3 linked regions of the Oryctolagus cuniculus genome follow. The protein of the gene in region 1 purifies or fractionates together with the protein of each later gene. This does not show direct contact. Links are inferred from orthologs where the notes say so. Each region holds a gene or a part of one and is shown in the gene's direction. Other genes may lie near its edges.

Evidence for each region.
Region 2: the proteins of DDX5 (region 1) and EED purify together in Homo sapiens (affinity purification with western blotting; 3 studies listed by BioGRID, with this or other methods). This does not show direct contact. The link is inferred for Oryctolagus cuniculus from reciprocal best matches to the Homo sapiens genes DDX5 and EED.
Region 3: the proteins of DDX5 (region 1) and EZH2 purify together in Homo sapiens (affinity purification with mass spectrometry; 4 studies listed by BioGRID, with this or other methods). This does not show direct contact. The link is inferred for Oryctolagus cuniculus from reciprocal best matches to the Homo sapiens genes DDX5 and EZH2.

The regions. Positions count from the first base shown.
Region 1 is NC_091448.1:14,232,375-14,234,783, forward strand, and holds the end of DDX5 (probable ATP-dependent RNA helicase DDX5), read left to right. Parts: intron 1-653; coding exon 654-878; intron 879-1,101; coding exon 1,102-1,505; 3' UTR 1,506-1,807; downstream 1,808-2,409. UniProt on the Homo sapiens protein: Involved in the alternative regulation of pre-mRNA splicing; its RNA helicase activity is necessary for increasing tau exon 10 inclusion and occurs in a RBM4-dependent manner. Binds to the tau pre-mRNA in the stem-loop region downstream of exon 10.
Region 2 is NC_091432.1:77,405,137-77,408,794, forward strand, and holds part of EED (polycomb protein EED), read left to right. Parts: intron 1-377; coding exon 378-469; intron 470-3,029; coding exon 3,030-3,163; intron 3,164-3,658. UniProt on the Homo sapiens protein: Polycomb group (PcG) protein. Component of the PRC2/EED-EZH2 complex, which methylates 'Lys-9' and 'Lys-27' of histone H3, leading to transcriptional repression of the affected target gene.
Region 3 is NC_091434.1:174,767,237-174,770,894, forward strand, and holds part of EZH2 (histone-lysine N-methyltransferase EZH2), read left to right. Parts: intron 1-482; coding exon 483-578; intron 579-1,144; coding exon 1,145-1,226; intron 1,227-1,897; coding exon 1,898-1,978; intron 1,979-2,151; coding exon 2,152-2,236; intron 2,237-3,520; coding exon 3,521-3,581; 3' UTR 3,582-3,658. UniProt on the Homo sapiens protein: Polycomb group (PcG) protein. Catalytic subunit of the PRC2/EED-EZH2 complex, which methylates 'Lys-9' (H3K9me) and 'Lys-27' (H3K27me) of histone H3, leading to transcriptional repression of the affected target gene.

The DNA.
Region 1 (2,409 bases):
TTTGAAAGTTCCTCCCTCACCTTGTGACACAGTAGTCGTCATGTCGAGACCTGCCAGAGAGAGACACATTCTCAAGTGAATCCTGGCTTCTTGGAAGCGCTTGCCTAGACGAGACACAGTGCATAAAAACAACTTTTGGGGGACAGGTATGTTTTTCTTGCAGCTGCGGTTGTAAGGTCTTGGCAAGACAAGCAGTGTGGCCTGAATTTTGAACTTCCGATGAGTGTGTAATGCAAAGGACCTTGTACATTTTTGTTTAAAGGTCCTCAAAATGAGCACATGAAGAGGTTGCTGTGAAACTTAAAAGTGGCCCTACTGCGCAGAAGCATTCAGATGTCACTTGATGATCTGTAAGGGGACGTGCTGAATTGGGAATGTGCTAGGGAACACACGTTCCTTTCGACAAGCTTTATCACTGGGTGGGCGATGGCTTGTACAGCTGATGTGTGCTTTTTTTTTTTTCCTCTTTTTTTTTTTTTTTTTTTTAAACTTGAATGGTATTCCTACAGGGAAAGGATAACCATTTTAACTGTATTTTTTGCAGCCCGTACCTTCTTGGGAATACAATTGTCTAACTTTTTATTTTTGGTCTGGCTGTTGTGGTGTGCAAAACTCCATACATTGCTATTTTGCCACACTGCAACACCTTACAGATGTGGAAGATGTGAAATTTGTCATCAATTATGACTACCCTAACTCCTCAGAGGATTATATTCATCGAATTGGAAGAACTGCTCGCAGTACCAAAACGGGCACAGCATACACTTTCTTTACACCTAATAACATAAAGCAAGTGAGCGACCTTATCTCTGTGCTTCGGGAAGCTAATCAAGCAATTAACCCCAAGTTGCTTCAGCTGGTCGAAGACAGAGGGGCAGGTAAGACTCGCCTTGAATTAGGTGGTTTCAGGTCACATCGTCTACAAATCCATTCAGGTGGGATTAGAGGGGGAATAAAATCTTGAATGTGAAACTTAATTTGAGAAATTGAAAAATACTTCCCACCCATGATTATGACTAGAATTACCTACTTTCTATATATTAGCAATAAATTGTGCCGCAGACATTAATAAGTTTGCAACATTTTTTTTTTTTTTGACAGGTCGTTCCAGGGGTAGAGGAGGCATGAAGGATGACCGTCGGGACAGATACTCTGCGGGCAAAAGGGGTGGATTTAATACCTTTAGAGACAGGGAAAATTATGACAGAGGTTACTCTAGTCTGCTTAAGAGAGATTTTGGGGCAAAAACTCAAAATGGTGTTTACAGTGCTGCAAGTTACACCAATGGGAGCTTTGGAAGTAATTTTGTGTCTGCTGGTTTACAGACCAGTTTTAGGACTGGTAATCCAACAGGGACTTACCAGAATGGGTATGATAGCACTCAGCAATATGGAAGTAATGTTCCAAATATGCACAATGGTATGAACCAACAGGCATATGCATATCCTGCTACTGCAGCTGCACCTATGATTGGTTATCCAATGCCAACAGGATATTCTCAATAAGACTTTAGAAGTATATGTAAATGTCTGTTTTTCATAATTGCTCTTTATATTGTGTGTTACCAGACAAGATAGTTATTTAAGAAACATGGGAAATGCAGAAATGACTGCAGTGCAGCAGTAATTATGGTGCACTTTTTCGCTATTTAAGTTGGATATTTCTCTACATTCCTGAAACAATTTTTAGGTTTTTTTTGTACTAGAAAATGCAGGCAGTGTTTTCACAAAAGTAACTGTACAGTGATTTGAAATACAATAAATGAAGGCAATGCATGGCCTTCCAATAAAAATATTTGAAGACTGAATTGGAAATTGTACTTTATTTTCCATATATAATGTCATGTAAAACTTTGCTTAGATGGTCTTTTTTATTTAAGTGACTAGTTTTCAATTTGGGAGGTTGTAGGGGAGGGGGGCAATAAGTAAGGCCCTTTGTGTAGTGATCTGGTCATATTGGAAGAATTAAAATGAGACTGATCTGGGTAAACATAGTTATAGGCTAAATTGCATAAGTTTTTGTTGGCAACTCCCAACATCAATGGGGTCATTTAATAATAGCCTATTTTCCTTACTTGTTAGAATGACTACATGAGATAGTAGATTGAGTATAGTAAGAACAACATGGATGACTGTTCGTTCCTTTTGCAAATTTATAATTTAAAAATTTCCAGTAATTTGCCTTTTCAGAAGATGATATTCTCTTCACTATATTCTAAACTACTGAAATGTTGAACAAAGCTGGAAAGCCCTTTAAGGGACTTGGCCAAGAGCTGCATTTGAGTCTGATGCTATTTGCACCACGTTCTTAGTGCAGTTTACTTGTACAGTCTAGTCTTCACAGACTTCTGGAGCTCCTAATTCAAGTCACACTGGAAATCATGAATGTCTTTCCAATAATTCAGGGATT
Region 2 (3,658 bases), on another chromosome or scaffold:
ATATCTTAAAATTATTTGTCAAGTCCCTAGGTACTTATTTTCTCATCTCAAAAGTATATCTCCATCAATTTATATTGTTTAAAGAAAATTACTTGAGGTAATTAGGCTTAAAATATTTAAGATCACATAAATATTTACAATTTGCATTTCATGTAAATACTTTCAAATCTACATGTCATGTAAATATTTTATTTTTTAATATGAATTCCGTTCCTAGTCATTTCTATGCCAGAATTCAAATTTTTTAAATTTTTGTTAGTTTGAGGATGTGTTAAAATTCACAGTAACTGGGGCTCTGATGTGCAAGCAGTTGTAAGTTAAAGTTCAGAGTAGTTAATGATAAAGGTTTATCCTAATGTTATGTACTTTCATCCTAGATCATGCTTTACGATTATGGAATATCCAGACGGACACTCTTGTGGCAATATTTGGTGGCGTAGAGGGGCACAGAGATGAAGTTCTAAGTGCTGTAAGTTGAAAGTTTCAGGAGAGTGACCTGCAAATTTACAAAGCTATAAACAGTCCCTATGGAGCTCTGTCCTTACAAGAAAGCATGTGTTTCTTTCACATAACCTACCAAGCAGTCATTTTACTGTTTTACATACAAGATTTTAGTCTTACAGGTGAAGAAATAAATCAAACCAGAAAGCTTGATTTTGCTTTTGTTTAAAATTGCCTGCTCTTTGATTTATATCAATACCTGGATTCTCTTGAAAGGACAGTGTGAACTTACTCCTTTCCTTTTACTATAAAATCACCAAGCTAACGTTTTACTGCTTCTCTTAGCCATTAGAAAATTCATCTTTTCTATAAAGTTGAAATGTATATTACCTCCCTTTAAGATTTAATTATTTATTTGAAAGAATTATATAGAGAGAGGGAAAGACAGATCTTCTGTCTACTGCTTCACTCCCCAGATGACTGCAACAGCCAGGGCTGGGCCAAGCTGAAGCTAGGAGCTTTATCCAGGTCATCCATGTGGGTGGCAGAGGCCCAAACACTTGGGCCATCTTCTGCTGCTTTTCCCAGGTCATTAGCAGGGAGCTGGATCAAAAGTGGAGCAGCTAGGACATGAACTGTCACCCATATGGGATGCCAGAGTCACAGAGGGCAGCTTTATCCACCACACCCCGGCACTGGCCCCAAGTTACCCACTTTTAAGAAGTTTTTATTGTGTTCATCCTGTTTCCACTCCTTTACATGGCCTAGTGTTACACAAGACCAACAGTTGATTACATTGAAAGATCACTGTTAGCTTTATGTTAATGTATTATAATCCATTGATGTGTTATAATACAAGTGTTTTTAGTCACATTTCAGACTTTTATATTTTGGCTTTATTGTGTTCCATGTATAGCTCATTAGATTTATTTCGATTTTTTAAAAAATAAAAAATTAATAAAAAATTTAAAAATAGATTTATTTATTTGAAAGAGTTACAGAGCAGGAGGGAGGAGGTCTTCCATTTGCTCATTCATTCTCCAAATGGCCACAACAGCAAGGGCTGGGCCAGGCCTAAGCCACTAGCCCAGGATGCAAAAGCCCAAGGACTTAGGCCATTTTCCCCTGCTTTCCCAGGTGCATTAGCAGGGAGCCACATTGGAAGTGGAGCAGCCAGGACTCAAACCTGGCACCTATATGGGATGCCAGTATTGCAGGTTGTTGCTTAGTTTGCTGAACCATAATGCTGGCCCCCAAACTGGAGGTACTAAAATATTCCTCTGGCTGGAGTTTGTGATACTTATACCTACATTAGAATACTGTGTCTACTTGCATTTTCTAAACGTTGAAGTAAGATCCAAGTGTACTTACCTTTATTAAGAGCTCTAACTTAGAGCTACTGCCTCTAAGGATGTCTTGTTGCTATTGATGGTAGTAGAAGTAGCAGTGACCAGATTAGTGAACTCAAACACCAAACCTAAATCTCTTAGGCACCTATAAAACAGCAATACTTAGAATTACTTTAAGGTTGGAGTATTACAAAATAAATTGGTAAGAATAAGTATTCTCCTGTAGAACTCTATTATTATTTGTTGAAGTTAGAGCAGGAAACAATATGTATCTCTGTAATGAAGGAGTACACTGCTGGAAGGATCAATGTGAGATTTTCATTAACTCATTAGGTGCCTTGTACTAAATTAAGTGGCATTTCTGGGCTTCAGTGTCTAACTCTGCAATAGGGCTGTTAAAATAGATGACCTGTTAGATGTCTTATTAAATATTAGTAAAAAGTAAATGAAAAAGTTAAATTCTGTTTGCATTTTAAATTTCTTTTTTATTTAAAAAGTGAATTTTAAAACCAGTGTTAACATTGATATATTTTGACTTAAAGGTTGTTTAAGGATTCCTGATGTCTCATATGCATATGTCGGTTTCATTGCTTAGTTAGAATTAAGAAAAGTAATATTACTATTCATCTCTTTGTGTCGTACAATAATTTTACTTCAGCATGCAGTTTACCTTCAAAATCAATCAACAGAAATGTGTAAATATATTAAATAAATTCAAAGTAAATTTAAGTAATTTACTTTTTTGTCTTCTATATTCAAAACTCATAAACTCTGATGGTGACAAACCACTTAAAACAGTAGTCAACTCTGTAATTGTGTTTCTTCTTTCTTAATTTGAGGGGCAGAGAGAGTTTACCCTTCTCATGCCTGTAACAGCCAGAACTAGGCCAGGCAGAAACTAGGGCCAGAATGCAATCCAGACCTCCCTTGTGGGTGGTAGGGATCTAAGTACTTAAACCAGCATCACCTGCTGCTTCCCAGGGTGCACATTAATAGGAAACTGATAGCAGGAGACTCAAAATCCAGGCACATATGGGATGTGGGCATCTCAAGTGGCATCTTTACTGCTAGGCCAAATGTCCACTCTAACTCCCACTTATGGCCTACATGGATGAAACCCAAAATACTGTTAATATTGTGATTTGAAATACAATTTTCACTAGATAACAGGTGAAAATTGGATAAATATAATTTGGGACTATAATTTATATACTTAAACTTTTTCTGTTTTACATATAGGATTATGATCTTTTGGGTGAAAAAATAATGTCCTGTGGTATGGATCACTCTCTTAAACTTTGGAGGATCAATTCAAAGAGAATGATGAATGCAATTAAAGAATCTTATGATTATAATCCAAATAAAACTAACAGGTAACAGTTGTAATTTGCCTTGTGGTACTGTTAACAGATGTGCTTTACTTTTTCCCAAAATTGTTATAGAAGCTCATGAAAAATTAAAAAGTTAATATGAATTTTCCATTAACTTGACACTCCTTTGGATAAGTATCCAGCATTCAGTTTAGATGTCCCATTTTCAGAAACTTAAAAAAGATTTTTAATTACTTTTTATTTGAGAGGCAGAGAGAAACAGATAGCTCCCATCTGTTGGTTCACTCCCCGGATGCCCACAAGGCCAGGGCTGGGTAGGGGCCAGAGCCAGGAACTGAGAAAGCAGTTCAAGTCTCCCACCTGAGTGACAGGAGCTCAGTTACTTTTGTCATCACCACTGCCTCTTAAAGCCGGCGTTATTGGGAAGCTGGAGTCAGGATCAGTCAAGATTTTGAACCCAGGCACTCTGATATTTGTGGTGGACATCATAATGCTAAGCTAAATGGCTGCTCCCTTAATAAGTTTAAAGTATAATTT
Region 3 (3,658 bases), on another chromosome or scaffold:
GAACCAGTGCCCATATGGGATACCAGAACTGCAGACGGCAGCTTTACCCACTATGCCACAGCACCGGCCTCCTGTATGTTTTCTTTATGAAAGATCCAAATGGCTACAAACATCTGGGGCTGGACCAGGCTGAAGCCAGGAGTCAGGATTCATTGGAGTTTTCCAGGAGGTGGCAAGGACCCAAGTACTTGGGCCATTAGCTGCTGCCTTCCAGGTGCATTAGCAGGGAGCTGGATCAGAAGTGGAGGTTGGACTCAATCCTAGGCACTCTAATAGGGAATGCGAGCGAGTGGCGGCTGAACCTGCTGTGCCACAATGTCCGCCTGTGTTTGGTTAAAAAACAGAAACACAACGGTGTTTTCAGTTTGCCAGCTATCCTCAGCAGCTTTCAGATGACCCAGTCTACAGTGTATTGAATTGCATTGAAACAGGTCTATCTTTGCTTTCCAAATATGATTACATAGTTGCTTTTTGTTCTCTAGCATTTGTTGCTGGCACCATCTGATGTGGCAGGCTGGGGAATTTTTATTAAAGACCCTGTACAGAAAAATGAATTCATCTCTGAATACTGTGGAGAGGTAAGGCACACTAATTGCATATTCTCATATTCATTGGGCAAGTCCATTGGGTTTGATTAGAAATGAATAAAATGTCTTTCCAGCTTGACTTGGGCTTGTGGGTTTTGGTTTGGCTTAGTAACTGGAATGCTTCAGTTTTAGCCACATGTAGCTTTTAGGATTTGGGGAAAGGGGGAGCATGGGAGCTTGTATGTCTGTCCTGCTTAAATTCACAGCCTAGCGGAAGAGGACCTAGAAATGCTCTTAGGGTTAGTTGTAGGTTAAGGGAAACAATCACAGGCCTAGCTTCAGTTTGTATTGAAGCTGCAGGCCGTGGCTTTTACTCAGCAGAAACACTTTCGTTAGCCATTTCCTCCAAGCATAATCACTTGATCCATCTTTGAGCTGGAGTCCTGAAAATGTCACTGCTCTTCTTGACCAGTGAACAGGCCAAATGGGAAAGAGAGGCTGTAGTGTTCCTTTGCTTAGTAGTCTCCCTAAGACTAAATCCTCTTGAGCTTTTTGTGTGCTCTACCAGGCTGTATCACCTGCCCCAAAACACTTTATTCTTATGTCTTTCCTTTTAGATAATTTCTCAAGATGAAGCAGACAGAAGAGGAAAAGTATATGATAAATACATGTGCAGCTTTTTGTTCAACTTGAACAATGGTATGTTTGAACTAGAACTTGTTTAGTTCCTCTGGGTTGCACGTAGGAGCCTTCTGCTGAGTGCTTGGAGATGGCGTTAGAATTCCACGAGGTGACTAGGAGGACCTCCAAAGGACAGCTTGTTTCCTGAGAACCTGGGTGCTGTGTAAGCTTGGCACCCTTCGAGTCTGTCTGACCTGGGAAGGACATGGAGTGTTGCATGTGAAAGCATCGTCCAACACTTGATCTGGGTGTTACCCAAGGACTGTGAACAGGAAGCTGCTGCTGTTCCAGTCACGTGCAGGTGTTCTCAGGAACGCAATCGGAACAAGTAGTTTTTCTGTGATTGCTACATAGACAGTATAGTGAAAAAACATTAATAGAATTTTACATGTGAAAATGGATGTTTTTGTGTTAGGAATTTAGATTCCTTTTTTAGAAAGGTTTTGCTCAGCAGTGCATAGTTGATAAGTAATAGCATGAGATAGACAACCATCCTGAGTTACCAGTGATTAGTTTTAACTTAGAACAGCATTTTCTCCCAAGTATCATTTAGAACTGAATGAAGTTGACTGCATGATCTTTTTGCTTTTGAATTCAAACCCTGAAGAACTATACCCAGTTGTATTTCCAGAATAACTGTTTATTGATTGACAACAAATTATTCAGTGTATTTTTTTTTTTTTTTTTAGATTTTGTAGTTGATGCAACCCGCAAGGGTAACAAAATTCGTTTTGCAAATCATTCAGTGAATCCAAACTGCTATGCAAAAGGTGGGTACTTAAGAAGTCAGAACTGTAGCTTGATAACATGGACTCCCTTTCTTATACAGTGATGGGGGCTTGAGTAGTTCTGGGACAGCTGTATGAAGTTCCCGAGTCAGGGAACCACCTTGTGGCCTGTCTTAACGCTACCTGCTCTGACACCAGTGTATCTTTCTTTCCAGTTATGATGGTTAATGGAGATCACAGGATAGGTATTTTTGCTAAAAGAGCCATCCAGACTGGTGAAGAGCTGTTTTTTGATTACAGGTTGGTAAAAGTACATTTCTAATGTGATCTGGGGGCTTTGCCTGCCTACATGTGAACTGTAGACAAGGGCTGTTTTTCAGTTCTTTGCGAGATCGGCTGTCATTGGGCATGACTGGGCATTGTCTGCCATCGGTGTCGGTGCGGCATTGCAGCCTGCCATCACAGTAATGTCGTTTTCCACTCATCATTTTAAAAATAAGCATTACCTACACAATTAGATTAAAACCTATGCAGAAAGCCCCACTTCTCAGCCTGCCGAGAGCTGTGTGAGTCCTAGTCCTCCTGTCCTGGTGCACGCATCAAGCCTGCTTGTGGCACCTGTCTGAAGACAGTGTGATCACATCATATTTACATAGATTACTCGGCCACCTGCTTTGACTTGCCAGTATGCTACACAGAACTTTAGTTCTACACTTACATCTACTTCATCTTTTTAGTTGCTGGAAATACCCCACACCACATTATTATTTAAAAAGTCAGCACTGTTGGTAACTACCTGCCTCTGGGCTCTTTCTGGGGAGGAAAACCACTGGGATGCTGGGAGGCCTTAGGCTGGCAGTTTATACAGCTTATCAAGTTCTGTGGACTAAATTCAATGCGCTTATATATTTAACATCCAATCAGATGCAGTCAGGTGACTGTCTAATAAAGGAATCCTGTTGCCGAATATGAATCCCACGCAGAAGCTGTTTAAGAGTTGTTGCAAACCAGGGCTTAATGACTACCACCACACAGTTGACGGAGAGAACTGAGATTGTCGGGTCAGAGAGGGGGTCCTTCTCGGGGCATGGTCGTCTCTGCTTCAGTCCAGTGTGCTCTGAACAGAGAGGCAGGTGCGCCTGGGGTTGAGGGTGCCTGGAGGCTGCACCCAGTGGTCGGGGCCTCACACTTCTCTGTCTGTCCCCTCACCTTTTCACCCGTGTGCAGCTGCTCTTTGGTGGCTCAGATCACTGTTTCCAAATCACGATTACCTTTTTGTTCTACTTTCCCAGTGTTAGGCCTGTACGTCATGATGTAGACGTGCCCTCCTGGGGCAGGCTGCTGCAGTGGCGTAGGGGAATGCTTATAATGAAACAGGTTTCTCAGTTCAGAACCTGGCGACTTCTTAACTAGGCTACCAGTGACACAGAATGTGTCGCCTTCCATGAATGTACCTCAATGCCTGTAGCTGTGTAAGTGGGTGTATGTACTTATCTTTTTAAGATACTGTAAGAAGCAGGGTTGGTTGTGTGCAGTCTCACCGCATGTTGGAAAGGTGACGATTGTTTTTTCATGTTGTTCCAGATACAGCCAGGCTGATGCCCTGAAGTACGTGGGCATCGAAAGAGAAATGGAAATCCCTTGACATCTGCTACCTCCTCCTCCCCTTCCTCTCGGAAACAGCTGCCTTAGCTTCAGGAACCTCGAGTACTGTGGGCGATT